Mus musculus: one gene and its partners. The protein of the gene in region 1 interacts with the protein of each later gene in a biochemical or structural test. Links are inferred from orthologs where the notes say so. Each region holds a gene or a part of one and is shown on either strand. Other genes may lie near its edges.

The links.
Region 2: the proteins of Rbx1 (region 1) and Ube2g1 form a complex in vitro, tested with the Homo sapiens proteins (8 studies listed by BioGRID). The link is inferred for Mus musculus from reciprocal best matches to the Homo sapiens genes RBX1 and UBE2G1.
Region 3: the proteins of Rbx1 (region 1) and Ube2r2 form a complex in vitro, tested with the Homo sapiens proteins (10 studies listed by BioGRID). The link is inferred for Mus musculus from reciprocal best matches to the Homo sapiens genes RBX1 and UBE2R2.

The regions. Positions count from the first base shown.
Region 1 is NC_000081.6:81,464,453-81,469,531, forward strand, and holds the start of Rbx1 (E3 ubiquitin-protein ligase RBX1), read left to right. Parts: upstream 1-1,863; 5' UTR 1,864-1,920; coding exon 1,921-1,998; intron 1,999-3,702; coding exon 3,703-3,781; intron 3,782-5,079. UniProt on the Homo sapiens protein: E3 ubiquitin ligase component of multiple cullin-RING-based E3 ubiquitin-protein ligase (CRLs) complexes which mediate the ubiquitination and subsequent proteasomal degradation of target proteins, including proteins involved in cell cycle progression, signal transduction, transcription and transcription-coupled nucleotide excision repair.
Region 2 is NC_000077.6:72,605,412-72,610,245, forward strand, and holds the start of Ube2g1 (ubiquitin-conjugating enzyme E2 G1), read left to right. Parts: upstream 1-1,849; 5' UTR 1,850-2,178; coding exon 2,179-2,224; intron 2,225-4,834. UniProt on the Homo sapiens protein: Accepts ubiquitin from the E1 complex and catalyzes its covalent attachment to other proteins. In vitro catalyzes 'Lys-48'-, as well as 'Lys-63'-linked polyubiquitination. May be involved in degradation of muscle-specific proteins.
Region 3 is NC_000070.6:41,134,164-41,139,005, reverse strand, and holds the start of Ube2r2 (ubiquitin-conjugating enzyme E2 R2), read right to left. Parts: upstream 2,986-4,842; 5' UTR 2,937-2,985; coding exon 2,760-2,936; intron 1-2,759. UniProt on the Homo sapiens protein: E2 ubiquitin-conjugating enzyme that accepts ubiquitin from an E1 ubiquitin-activating protein, and catalyzes its covalent attachment to other proteins by an E3 ubiquitin-protein ligase complex.

The DNA.
Region 1 (5,079 bases):
ATGGTATTCAGCACAGTAACAACGTGTGCAGGTTTGGAAACTAGGAGAAGTAAGTTCATAATATAGCCTAGGTGTGTAACAGGCTACCTCATCTAGGTTTGCGTAAGTACTTTATAGAATGTTCACACAATAACAAAATTGCCCAATGCCTTTATTCAAATGTACATGTATTACTGCCTCCTCCCCTCAATCTCACCATCTTGTTTTCTGTAGCATGTATTGCCACCTGAGACACCTTGATATAGTTGTTGATCTGTGTTTATTTCCTTACTGAGTTGACTTCACTGTGGCTTTCCTGTTTAAAGCAGAACCCAGTGTAGCTGAGCATGGTGGTTCTCCTCCCTCTATCCCTAGCACTTGGGAGGTAGAGGCAACAGAATTGCTCAGATTTCAAGGCCAGCCTGGGCTACAGAGTGAGGCCCTATCTCAATAATAATAATAATAATAATAATAATAATAAACCAAAAATTAAAAGACGAAGTAACATACTCAGGATAGTTGTTGACGAATGGATAAATATGTCCTCAGTATCTTAATTAACTATGGGTTTCTAGCATCCCTTAGGGGGTCTGTAGACACATAGACCAATGACAGATTTAGTGTGGGAGGTAGAACTTGGGCAGACACACACACACCTTGCAGGGCTCTCACAAGTCTCTGTGCAAGTTAAAACTGTGGTGGTATTCAGGATGTATTGCCCTGCTTAGCAAGTGCATCAATGACACACCGCATTACACACCAGCAAGTATTTCTTTTAACAGAACATTTCAGGACAGGCAGTGGTGGCGCATGCCTTTAATCCCAGCACTTGGGAAGCAGAAGCAGGCAGATTTCTGAGTTCGAAGCCGGCCTAGGTCCAGTCCTGAGTTCCAGGACAGCCAGGGCTACACAGAGAAAAACCCTTTCTGGGGGGGGGGAGGGGCACATTTCCGGTAAAACCCTTTTTGTTGTACTGTTGAGGGAACTAGAACACACAGGAAATTCAAGGGTGATGTATTCTAGTCATAACTCCGCAAATTTAGGAGACAAAACAGCGGAGGGCTGGACTAATCATGGAAGCTTACAAAACGTATGTGTTCTGTAGCTCGATGGTAATGACCGGTAAGAAAATCAGAATGCCTCACCAGAACTCAAGTTCAGCCACTACAAATGTACTAATTTAATCGTAGCACAGTAGCAAAACTCGATAGGAAATGAGGAGAAAGGAGGACCATTTAGAACTGGCTGGTTATGGGATTTACTATGGCATCCCCATCACCTTTCCTGTGAGAAGATAAAGGCAAAGTTGCAGAATGCCTGCTCTGTTTGCTCCTGGGCCTCTTCTCTCCCTATCAAATAATTTCCCAATCTGAAATTGATAACGCAGACGGTGACCAGGCCTTGGTAAGCCGGGCCACAGGCCTCCAGAGAGACACCGCCTGGCTCCGAAGCCGACCACGGTCAGCAGAAGGCCGGTTTGGAGTTTCGGGTTTCCAAAGACCAGCCCATGCCCTTTGCAACCACGGACTCGGGGGCAGCTCTGTGGATCTGGACCAGGGCTTAAGTCCTGGGGCAGAAGAAGGAAGCAGCCGCCGCCCCAAATGAAGGAGTCAGACCACAGGGCTTCCCAGAATGCGAGAAGCATCGAGACCTCACGGACGTTCCCACCGGTTGGCTCCCTTCTCTCGGCCCCGCCCGGCCCCGCCCGGCCCCGCCTCAATCACTCCAGCCTCCTCCCCAGCTGAGAGAGATGGGGAGGAGGGGGGCGGGAAACCTCCGCCTGCGCCTTTAAGGGGCGTGACCGCAGGCTCCGCCCCTTCTCCACGCTCGCGCCAATGAGGGGAGGGGTGCGGGAGGAGGCGCCTGGTGTGCGGGGCAGGCGGCGGAAAGTGAGCCGGTGCGCAGGCGCAGTGGTCACACGACAGACTGTGTGTTTCCAAAATGGCGGCGGCGATGGATGTGGATACCCCCAGCGGCACCAACAGCGGCGCGGGCAAGAAGCGCTTTGAAGTTAAAAAGGTTGGGCTCGCCAGCGCCTTCCTCAAGGAAGCTAGGGAGGCGCGGATATGGCTGGCAGGCCCGAGGAAGAGCTAGGCGCGGGGGAAAGGGCTTCATTTCAGGGCGTTCCTGGGACCGGGCACCAAGAACGGAAGCCGGGGGGCGGGCCTAGGGTTGATCGGCATGCTGGTGGCCCAGTGTCTGGGGCCCTATTAGTCTTGCTGGGGAAGCTGTGGGGCCAATCGCAGAGCTGCTTACTGAAATACGCGAGGTTGACTTCGATGCGGGAGCCAAGCGCTTGAGCTGTCACTGAAGTGACTGAGAGGTGGGGGAAGGACAGGGTGGGGTGGGTGGGATGCAGACTCGTGAAGAGACTGCGGCGGGTGGAGGATGGGGCCGTGCGGAGAACCCCGGGAACGTGAGATGACAGCGCAGAGGGGCTCTGCCGGTGTTCTTGCTCCGCCCCTTCCTGGATCCTAGAATCTATTGACTCCGAGGGACCTGGCGTGGGCCCTCGATTGTATGGCGGCCTCCATTGGCCTCTAAACCCACAGTCAAGTGTAAAGCTTGGTTCTAACGAGATGGCTACTAGTTGTCACATAGCATCTGCCACTCCAGTGGTTCTCTGATGTCCCTGTACACTTCTAACACAAAATGATAATTTAAAAGCCTGGTGGGCTTTGTTTTAAAAGCAAGCCCAGAACTTGTGCCATTTAAGAAGGTGGAGTACTAATTGCTAATGACCTGAGAACAGAAAAACAAAAATATGAAACGTCCTTTTGTATGCCGTTCCCCTTCATAGTTTGCTAGTCCTTTAAAAGTGTTGATTCCTACCTAAGATTACACAGATCTGTTAAAAATGAAGATCTTGAAGAGGGCAAGGTGTTTTCTTTTTATGGATTATTTTTGGAACGTGTCGCTGAGAATATCCCTCACCCCACCCCCTTTTTGTGTCATCTCATTGTGGCCACTGCTGCTCAGTTACAGCCTGCAGCCATTATGAAAAATAAAAATGTAATGTAGAATTTACTAAACTCTTATGCTTGAATTTGGAAAGTCAAACCAAAGTAGTCCTTGAAAAGGGTGCCTTGTCTAACATAAGAAGTCTTAGGTCGACTTACTGGAGCTAACAAAGTAATTGTTTGGATATATGAACGTTGAGAACATCAGTTTACTTGGTAAGAGGAAAAGAAAATCGCAGTGGATTCTACTTTGCTTGCAGTGCTCTTTTAAGGTTTAAGTGATGACCTCGTTCTGTGTACTGAAACTGGGTAGGTAACTTGCTATCCAGCTTATCCTGTGATTATCCACTTAGTGGTCCATTTATTATCTTAGTTCAGTCTGTTCACTTCCTTGCCTCTGAGTCCAAAACTTTGTGGAGAGCCCGTGCTTATGCAGATTTTGAGTTCTTCCACAGCTGTCAGGGAAAGCTGTACAGAAAATAGTACTAATATTCTCACGTTGGTTTGGCTAGCTAAATTATTTTACATTATATATAAAAAATTGAAGATACCCATGTTCATATACTTCATCTTTCAAGGAATGGGGAAGTGTACAGGTGGTCTGCTGTTGTCCTCTGATATAGTCCAAATAGTATAATCCAAAAACATCCTTTCTTTGGTAGGCCCTGTGGCTGGGGCGTTGGTAACTGAAGCTGCAAGCTGAAGTCCTAATGAGCTGTTAGATTACAAGGAAAATGCATTGTTTCCCCTCTTCTCCTTGCAGTGGAATGCAGTGGCCCTCTGGGCCTGGGACATTGTGGTTGATAACTGTGCCATCTGCAGGAACCACATTATGGATCTTTGTAAGTAACTCGGGGCAGATGGGAAGAAGTTGAGAAGGTTACAGAAATGGTGGTCATCCTGGTGTGCCCAATTGTCTTCTTTACCAGTGAATACAAAGCAGGCTCAGAACCCTTAGGCACTTGTGTATCTCATCCATTGGTGTGTTTGAAGTAGATTGTTTTGTGGTTGTTTGTGGAGACAGAGTTTTTTGTGTAGCCCTAGCTCTACTAGAACTCACTTTGTAGTAGACCAGGCTGGCCTTGAACTAGAGATCCACCTGCCTCTGCCTCCTGAATTAAATTGTTTCTTTTCTTTTCTTTTTTTTTTTTTTTTTTTTTTTTTTTGTGGGGTTTTTTTTTTTTTTTTGTGGGTTTTTTTTTTTTCTTTCTTTCTTTTTTTTCCCCCCAGACAGGGTTTCTCTGTGTAGCCCTGGCTGTCCTGGAACTCACTTTGTAGACCAGGCTGGCCTTGGACTCAGAAATCCACCTGCCTCTGCTTCCCAAGCGCTGGGATTAGAGGCGTGCACCACCACCGGTTAAGTTGTTTCTTAAAACAATGTCTTGGAGGCGTACCTTGCTCTCAGAATGAATTATTCATTGTAAATCAGGCAAGATCCCATTTAAAATGGGGTGTAGATAGAGTTGCCTTTTATTTCCTTCTTAGACAGCCATAAAGGCAAAAATAGTGGAAGAAAATGACCTTTGAAGGTAGATATAGTGGTATATGCCTGGAATCCCAGCATTTGAAAGGCAGTGGCAGGAGTATTGTTACAAATTACAGGCCCATCAGGGCTAAGATTTGAACTACAGTACTCTTACCTAAGCTAGTTTTTGTTGAACAAGATTACAATCACAGATTGGAGAGATGGTTCAGGAGTTAAGAACATTGGCTGCCCTTCCAGAGGACCCCGGTTCATTTCCCAGCAACCACATGCAGGCTCACCTTGCATAGACTATCACTTCAGTCCCAAGGGATTTAGTGTCATCTGCTGACTTTCAAGGTCACCAGACACACTCCAGTGTAGGCAAAACACCATACATAGTAAATGAATGAAGTCAATAAGTTAAAAGTAAATTTGCAGCCAGCACTATGTATTCTAAAGTGTTACATTTTCAGGTTTGAACAGCTTAGTGTCCATGGATGTGCGTGCGTGCATGCCTGTTATAAATGTGTGTATCCCCCCACTCCACATGTACTCATGCACCCATGGGCTCTCAGCAGGTCTCTCAGATACTCCCAGGTCTTAACTGTAGTATCCCTTTATGTCATTTAATCATGGCTCTCAGTTATATCCATGTTAGTTACTGCCCTGACATTT
Region 2 (4,834 bases), on another chromosome or scaffold:
CCATTTGTAATGAGATCTGACACTCTCTTCTGGAGTGTCTGAAGACAGTTACAGTGTACTCACATATAATAAAAATAAATAAATCTTAAAAAAAAAAAGAAAATTTCTTTCAGAGGACACATAGGATAGGATGGTTTCCAGCAATCGTGTAGTAAGTAGCATAAGACCCTCTGCAGGTCCAATTCTAGAGCATCTGATGTCCTCTTCCAGATTTTGGGTACCAGGCATACACATGGTACACATAAATTCACCCCGGCTCATATATATACCCATTAAAACAAAATCCTTAAAAACAAACCCACAGAGGGATATGGTGGGGCATGGTTTTAGTTCCAATCCAGACAGAGGCAGGCAGATCTCTTGAGTTCGAACCTGCAACCTGGTCTGCAGAGGGGTTCCAGGACAGCTAGGGCTATACAGAGAAACTCTGTCTCAAAAAACCAAAACCAACCAACCAAAACAAACAAACAAACAAGCAAAACAACTACAAAAAACCAACCCCTCCCCTATCCCAACCATAAAGCTGGATTAGTCCCTAGGTGGGCAGTATTTCAAAATGGCAGATTCACTCAATGTTTGTTTCTTTGGTCTGGTGGGACAGTGCTAGGGAGGTAAGCCAGGGCCTTGTGCCTGCTTGCCCAGTAATTTTTATTACATGCCTAACGGAATCTGCTCCTCTTGTTCACTTTACTTGGAGTTCACAGAAGCTTCATGCTTTTGTGGGTAGAAATGGACCTGATTTCCTATGCACAGTTTTTGTTTTCTACAGTCCAGGTACAGGGAAGTAGGGATTGAACAAACACTTATTGAAAGAACAAGCAAGGGGCTGGAGAGATGGCTTAGCGGTTAAGAACACTGGCTGATTTCCCAAAGGTCCTGAGTTCAATTCTCAGCAACATGGTGGCTCACAACCATCAGTAATGGGATCCTATGACCTCTCTTGGTGTGTCTGAAGAGAACAACAGTGTAGTCATATACATAAGTAAATAAATCTTTAAAAGAAAGAAAGAAGAAACAAAATTGAGTGTCAATGTTACTTTTCCCCCTTCCCTTTTTTGTTTCTTTATTGCTACAGTGTTGACAAAGCACTCAACTGGGAAATGGGCAAGGAGGTTGGATAAGGTTGACTTTTCCTAATCTCGGCTTTCACACTTGGACTTTACATAGTAGGTGCCTTTTCTAGAGGAGTCTGATCTATTATGGATCCTCATCCCCAGACGGAGATTGGGTATCACTGTGCAGCGAAGGGGACCTGGGTCTTCTAATCCTCAGCCTCAAGTGTTGAGATTACAGGAGAATACCACCTGAATCCGAACCATTTATCAGGTTGTGCTAATCACAACTCTGCACTTTACTCAGTCTTACTATTTACTTAAACGTTTTCTGCTATGAGACTCATAACATTTTTATTTCAAGGACCATTCTGTGCATTCTTTATGAATTATCACCATGCACTCTATTTTGCGGCTGCTTAAAATGGTGCACACCAGTACTAAATTCGGCTTTGTAACAATGACTAATTCGCACACCTCCGATGTAGTGTTGGATGGCTGCTGGGTCCTCGCCAACATCTACCACTTCTGGTCCCATCACGCTTAGACCTCCTGCTTATACCGGGAGGCAGCGTCCTGACCCTCCGCGACCTCTTTGTCATGGCGTCCGCGGGGCGTCTACCAGCCGACGCTTCCGCAGCTGGGCGGGCGTGGACCTTCCCAAGATGGCGGGGCTGAGCCCACTGCGCGCGGTGGGCGGGGTTCCACCGCCGGAGGCGGGGCAGCAGGGCCGAGGGGTCGGGCTAGCAGGAGTGCTGCTTCTGAAGGAGGCAGGCTCAGCGCGCTTGCGCGGAGCGGCCCTGCGCGCAGTGAGGCAGTGGCGGGGGAAGGCACCGGTGGGGCCGACGGGCGGGCAGAGGAGGGAAGCGGGCGAGCGAAGTCCCAGTGCGCGCCGCGGCGGCCCGGGTACCCTCCCCTTCCGGGCGTGAGGCGCTGAGCGAGGAAAGCCGAGCGGAGCGGACTCGCATAGGCGGCGAGGTGCTTCTCGGGTCTCCCAAGACCGGCCTCCCCGCGGCTTCGGCGCTCCGGTCCGGGTTCCTCAACACACATCTAGCTCCAGGCACCGGCAGAGCTTGTCGCCAGTCCGTCGAAGTCCCGGTGGCGGCCCGGGCTCTCGGTGGGGAGGATGACGGAGCTGCAGTCGGCGCTGCTACTGCGAAGACAGCTGGCAGGTGAGCGGCGGGGCGCCGGGCCGCGATCGCGGACTGCCGAGCCACTCGCCTCCTCTCGCCCGCTCGGAGGCTGGGTGGTGGCGGGCCGCGAGGGTGGGAGCCCGCGAGTCGCGGCGAGCTGGCGACACTCCTGGCCCGGCTGTGGAGGGTGTTGGGGGCGGGGACGCTCCCCAGCCTCGCCCTCGGACGGGCCGGACGCCCTGGGCGGCTGCCCCCTCCCCCACGGCACTGGGGCGTTGCGGGGGAGGGGCGTGGGTCCCGGTCGGGCCGACCCTCCCTGAGGGGCGGATCCCGGGCTCAGGTGCGGCGGAGGCCGCGGAACCTCGGGGACCCCGGGAGCTTGCGGGGTCCCCGCGCGGCTGTGAGTCCGAGCCGTGTCGGGGGCCGGAGAGGGGAGGCGCGCCAAACTTCTGGCCCGGCAGCGCGGGGTTCGCGGAGTTAGGGCAGACAACAAAAGCGACGGCGGGGCTGGCCCGGGTGCTGACGCGGGGCACCGGGGGGCTCGGCGGGGAGCGCGACTCCGCTTCGCCTGCCTCCGCCTGGCACGAGCTCGGGCTGCGCCGCCCGTCTGGGGGAGGGTGGGCGCGGGCGCTGGGGAGAGCGGCTCGCTGGCCGGCCCGGGCTTTGTGCTCCGTGGGCACGGCTCGGGCTCCTTCGCGCAGGCTCGCGGCCACCGGGCTGCGGCCCGCCTTAGGCTCTGGCCAGGGGCGGCGGCTCAGTGCCTCCCCCGTGGAGTCTCTGTCCCCCTCCCCCATTGTCCCGGCCTCTGGCCGTTTGCGGCTTCCAGGTTGACTTTTTAGGGGGTTGGCTCCTACTCTGCTAGGACTGTGTGAGCGGAGCATGCGCGCTGGAGGCGTACGTGTGCGGAGTGGAAGGGGGGGAGGGAGGAGGCGGGTTGGTGCCTTCACAATGCCGCCCCACGTGCTGCCAGATTTAAAGAGAAATGAACCGGTAGTTAGCCCTGCTGTCCTACGCCAAGCGTGTGCCTGGCTTGGTTCAGGCGACTTCACCCCTCCTCAACCTGTAGCCAGTCCTCTCCCCCCACCCCCCTTTTAAACTTTCTGAAAGCCGGAATGTTGATAAATGAAATAGATTTCTATGAGTTTGAGGTGTCAGCTAAATCACCTTTATGACTTCTTAAGGAAAAGGTCGACAGGGGCTGTTACAGATTGTATAATTAGGTTTATTATTAGACCATGAGCTAACAGGTTTGGACAAGTATTAAAATTCTAGGTGGGACAGCAATTTGAAGTGGATGGAAAAGTTAGAATCCCCATCAGAAATATTTTCGAAAGAAGTTAAACAATTTATTGCATCTTATTTAAAAACATTCTTTTTCTGAGGTCTTTTTCGCCTTTTGTTTTGGATGAAGGAATTAAAATTTTTGACTTAGTAGGAATTCTTTATCGAAACCTGCCTGGTCTACTGTAGTGGATTCTGGGACATCAAGGGCTATGTAGAGAAACTCTGTCTCAGAAAACAAAAACAAAAACTAACAATAAAATCAACTATCTGCATTAATTTTTATTATGTGGCAAATTATTAAATAGACGGTAAACACTGAATATTAAAAGGATAACCTTACATAGTGGAAATGACATACATTTTTAAAGGTGCAAAAGATTTTACAGTTTAACAATACCACTATGTTAAAATAAGACCCATTTGTGAGCATCTTTTTTTTGGGGGGGTGCTGAGGTTAGACAGTTTTTCTAAGGAGTCCTTCACTGTCTGGAACTCACAGAAATATGCCTGCCTGCCTCTCTCTGCCTGTCTCTCTGTGTCTGTCTGTCTGTCTCTCTCTCTCACAGGTTTTCTCTTATATAACCCTGATTGTTTTGGAACTCCATGTAGATCAGGTTGGCCTTGAACTTAACACAGATCTGTCTTCTGCCTTCCAAGTGCCTGCCCCCCACCTTCTTGTTCTTTGAGCTGGAATTTGAATCCTGTACCACCATACTAGGTTTATTTATTTTATTTTCCACAGAAATAATAAATAATAGTTTAAATCATATTTTAGGGATACTTAACTTTCTCAAAATGTATGGAACAAAGTTTGTTGGTTGAAATGTGAAAATATTAAATTTATTTGAGAAGACTGGATGAGCACCTAAAAATAAAGGCTTTTTCTTTTTTACTTTAGCATTTTTAAATGAGTTTTCTTATCACTTGAAAATAGTAAATGGTAAAATATAATCTTGAAATGAATGAACTTGTATAAATGCCTTAAAAATACTAAATTGAGCTGACTAGGTAACATAATCTGATAAAGTGTCCTCAGTGCTAGAGTTTCAGAAATGTATAGCAGTGGCTGCATTTGTTGAACTAGTAGTTTGCCAGTGATAAAAGGTTTTGATTCATTACCTAGGAGAATTTATCCTGTAACGAGGCTTTGTAAGCATTCAGTTGAGCAGAATGGTGCCCTGAGTGACAGAATTTCTCATTTCTGGTACCATGACATTTAGGGCAGTTGTTGCTGTGGAGGGTTGTACCTGTGCAGTAAAGGTTACAGCATTCCTGTCTGTACCTACTAGATACCAGTAGTACATCCCTTCATTGTGACAGTGAAAAATATATCTATTGCCAAAGTTCCCTGAGACGGAGTCATTG
Region 3 (4,842 bases), on another chromosome or scaffold:
AAAGGAATTTAAACTAGATAGAGCCAGGTGTGAGGGTACATCTGTGCCTTTGACCTCAGCAACTCTGGAAGCAGAAGCAAGTCTATCTCTGAGAGTTCTAGACCAGCTACACAGGAATAAACAGCAAGACTCTGTCTTGAAAAAACAAAACAAACCATACTCAACAGGAAATAAAGACTTTTTCTTCCTTTCCTCCCTCTGGTTACACAGCCCTGGTTGGTCTAGAACTTACTGTATAGAGGAGGCTGACCTCAGATTTGCTTGCATAACTTGTCCTGCCTTTGCTTCCTGACTGTTCAGATTTCAGGAGCACCTCTGGGTCTGGACAGTACTGGAGATGGAACCCAGGGTTTTCACTATGCTAGACAAGCTCTCTACAAATGAGGTACACCCCTGGTCCCCAAAGGTAATCTTTTTCAAAAGGACTAAAGCTATGATTTGTATATTTTGTTGTAGGTGTGTTGCTGGAGTTTAAAAAAAAGAAAATCTGAGCTTTGGGAATGCTAGGCAAGTATTCTACCACTGCGCTACAGCCCTAGCACAAAGCCTTTATTATTTTATTATTATTATTGTTGTTGTTGTTTGAGACAGGGTTTCTCTGTGTAGCCCTGGCTGTCCTGGAACTGGCTCTATAGACCAGGCTGGTCTCAAGCTCAAAAATTCAAGTGCTTTTGCCTCCTGAGTGCTGGGTTAAAGGTGTGAGCCACCACTGCTCAGCTTTATTTTAAATTAGTATATGCTACAGGAAATATTTCCATTTTATCAATTCAAAATCATTAGTAAGCAAAAGTCTTACTTTCATAGCTTTTTAAAAACAAATTTCAATAAGAGATTAACTACCATTTACCTTAACTATCAATTGTTCCAGAAATAATACTTTTTGGAAAATAGACTGTATCCTTAAGCTCAGCATGGTGCTACTTTAATCCCAGAACCTGGAAGGCAGAGGCAGAGGCAGAGGCAAGAGGCTATCTGTGAGTTCAAGGCCAGCCTGGTCACAGAGCAAGTTCCAGCATAGCCAGGGCTACAAAGAGAAACCCTGTCTCAAAACAAAAACAAAAACAAAAACAAATAAATAAAACAAAACCATCCTCTTTAAAATTAACCAGTAGTCTGCTTTGAAAATGTTTTCTAGGAAATATATCATATGAACTCCACTTTGTGCAATACTCTCAATATCTATAAATTAAAATTTATATTTGACATATAGCATACCTCAACATAGAAACAATACCCTTTCCAATCTATCACTAATAAACTGGAACCTTTGCTTAAACTTTAAGCACCTGCATCTAAAAAGTATACTTGTATGCTGACCACAAAAGATGAAGCAAACAGTTGGTAAGGATGCTACACTCTTATATAACGTTCTAAAAATGTCCTTTTACTAAGTATTCAGCAACTATCACATGCATGAATGTTAAGCATTCCCTATCAATCCTATTTTCAAAAAAGTTGACCCAGTTTAAAGCCTGAAATTTGAGGCTTTTGGACGGTAGAAAATAAGAGGTAAGTAGTTGGGCAGTCCTAAAAATACCCATCACAACTACATGACTAAGATATTCGTTTAAAACTTGTGCCAAGATAACCCCTCCCTTCAAAACAAACGAAAACTGACTCATTGGCCTATTTTACCTAATTTTGGAAATAAAATAATAAATGAATTCCTAAACACCCATTCCCTCTGTCTCTACCCCCCACAACATCTTCACTCAGGGATTCTACCCTCCAAATAAACTGCTTCAGTCAAATCAAGACAAAACAAAACAAAACAAAACAAAAACAGTATCTCCAAGTACTGAACTCAGAAATAATTAATGGAAACAATGTCTATATAGTGGCAGCCTAAGGAAACACTCCACCATGAGAAAGCCTATCACCTCGGATGCAGCTCATCTGTGGGACGACCCCATTTGTTGGAGCTAACCACCTAAGCAAAAGCTTTTAATCTTGTCTCTCGAAAGTGGGAAACTATCAATCTGCCTGACGCGTTCCACCCTTTGTGGATGTTTGTACATGGAGTGTGTGGGGGGGGGGGGGGGGGTGCTAGTAAACTTGGTAGGAAAGGACAAAGGGCATTTTGGAAGCAGCAGAGACTGACTATAAAGTAAATGGAAAACGAGGACAGAAAGAGGACTAAATTAAAGTCCCCTCGAGTGGATGAACAACAAGACAACGGCCAGCACACCACCCTCCCTTTTTTGGCCACCCCCATGGTCCTCTTCCTTATTACCACCTACTGTAATCAAAAGTTGGACTACCACTACCCAAGACCAACAAATCCTCCAAATGTCAGGGCACTAGCAACACGGGCAATGACAGGCTAATATTCCTCCCCCACACCCCCCTAAAAAAGAGAAAAGTCCAATCCAGTAAGTGCAGGTCACCCTGCCCTCTGGGGCAGTTCCAGCCTGCGCAGAGAAGGCTCAGATGGGTCCGAGAAAGAGAAGCTAGACCATCCCTATTTCCACACACCCCTCAGCTGGAGAAACAAAACAAAGGCAGCCCTCCTTCCCGATAGCCACTACCCCAGCCAAAGAGGCTTTTCCTATTTCCCGGTGCAGTCTGGCCTCCCGCCCCCGCCCCATGACAAAGAAAAGGCACTTGGTGAGCAAGGCCTTCCTGCCTCTACGGATGGGGGAGGGGGCTGCGAGGTGAGGAGCCCCCACCCCCCACCCCCGGCTCCCCCGAGCTCACGCTCCCCGCCAGCGGCGGAAAGCCGAGACCGGGGAAGCTGGGCCGAGAAAGGGTGGCGGTACCTTGAAGTAGCCGCCTTCGTAGAGGGTGTTAGGGGGTCCGAAGATGGCCACCTCCCAGTTGTAGAGGTCGGACTCATCCACCAGGGTGATCCGGAAGCCCTCCACCGGTTCCTCCTGCAGGGATTTCAGCTCAAGCATCAGGGCTTTCTGCGAGCTGGTCATCTGCTGCTGGGCCATCGCGGCGGCGGCGGCCGTGCGGGGCCGCGGCCCCAGTCCTCGCGCACCGGCCGGGCCGGACCAGGCCCCTCCCCTCCGCTCGCCCTCGGGCCGGGCCGGGCCCCTGTCTGTCCTCACACGCCTGGCGGGGCCGGACCAGGCCCCAGACGGCCCGCGGGCCCGCCCGGGGTCCTCCTCACTCACGACTCGGGCCGGCCCGGGCCCTCCTCACACTCGGGCCGGGCGGGGGCGGGCCTAAGGGAGTTGGGGGAATCCGCTCCGGGCTCCGGGCCTCCCCCCCCCGGAGGGGGCCTCTACTTATGGGGGGGGGAGTGGAGGTGGAAGCGAAGGAAGGCGGCGGAGGGCAGACGATGGTGAAGACAGGGGTGGGGGGGCCGAGGCGGCCCGGGATCGCCGTGCTCGCTCGCCCTCTCGTTCTCCGCGGGGGCCGGAGGGGCGCACGAGGGAGGGCGCGCCGTGCGCTGGGGTCTCGGGACGGCGGCGGCGGCGGCTGCGCGGGGGGAGGGGCGGAGGAGGAGAGCGAGAGCGCCTCGCGCCGCGGGAGCAACAGAGCAGAGAAGGAGGGAGGGAGGGAGGGAGGGAGAGGAGGAGGGGCGCGCGCCGGGAGGGGGGCGGCTCGCGGCGACAGCGGCCCGGTGCGCGTGCGCGCGCCCCTCCCTCCCTCCTTCCCTCCCCCCCCCCCCGCCCTCCTCGCTGTGCTCTGCTCTACTCTGCTCCTGCCTGCTCGCTTCTCCACTCCCCCCTCCAACCCCCACCCCCAACCCCGGCCAGGCCCCACGGTGGCTGCGCTTTGTGACGCTTGCGCGTGTCCCCCACCCTTAAAGAGCCAAGCGGAGGTGGGGATCAAGGGCGGGTCGCAGAGGATTACTTTGGGCCCTAAGTGACGGTTGTGCGGCTGGACGCCGCGGTTCCAGAGGCGTGTCCCGGAAGGAACCTCAGCTCCTAAGGCTCTCAGCACTAGCGCCCAGTGTGTCCCCTGGCCTCCGCAACCTTCCTGTGAGGAGCCCTGGTCCTCCGCATGCACCCCTCGGTGACACCCAGGCTGTGGTCCTTACACTTAGTAGTGCTTCAGTAGGTTGTGTCTCCCACCTCAGGGGAGGCAGTCTCCCAAAGGAAAGCTAGAGAAAAGCAGGCAAGCTCCCGCTTCCTTTTACCGAGAGTAAGTAGTAGGTTGTGTAGAAAGCGGAGAGAACTAATGTTGAGCCCGATTACGGGGCTTCCATGAGATTTGGGGAAGAGCGCTGGCTATAACTTAGTCTACTTCTTTGCAAAATATTGATGTTGGCCTAGTGTGGCCTTGGAAGGGGACAAAAGCAAAATGATCAGTGTGAGGCCAACCTGGTCTACTTAAGTAGTTCCTTACCAGTCAGTACTACATAATGAGACCCTCTCTCTAAAAACAGACGGCTGCGGTGGAGCTTTTTAACTCTACGGATCTACCTGGCCGTGGCGTGGCTAGGGAGACACAGTCTTCAGTTCCTGGATTAGAATACTCTAGGATTGTTTGCTATAATGGTGGCACATACTTTTGATTCCAGCACTTGATAGGCAGAGACAGTCTGATTGTGAATTCAAAGATAGCCTGGTCTACATAGCAATTTCCAGGCAGCCAGAGCTACATAGAGACCCTGTCTTTAAGAAAGAAAGAAAAAGAAACAAAGAAACAGAGAAAGAAAAAAGAAACAAAGACCTCAGAACACCGAGACAAGTTCCAACCCAAACATTTTGGGTTCAGAAAGCTTCATTCTAACTCCTTACTTGATCAGATTCTGTGAAAGAAGATTAAATACACCTAACGCCAGGAATGGTAATGGTTAAATTAAATCTACAGCTTATAAGACTTTTTTTTTACAGAAGTTTTAGGTTTACAGAAACAGTAAAGTTCTCATGTACTTAGCACCCAGTT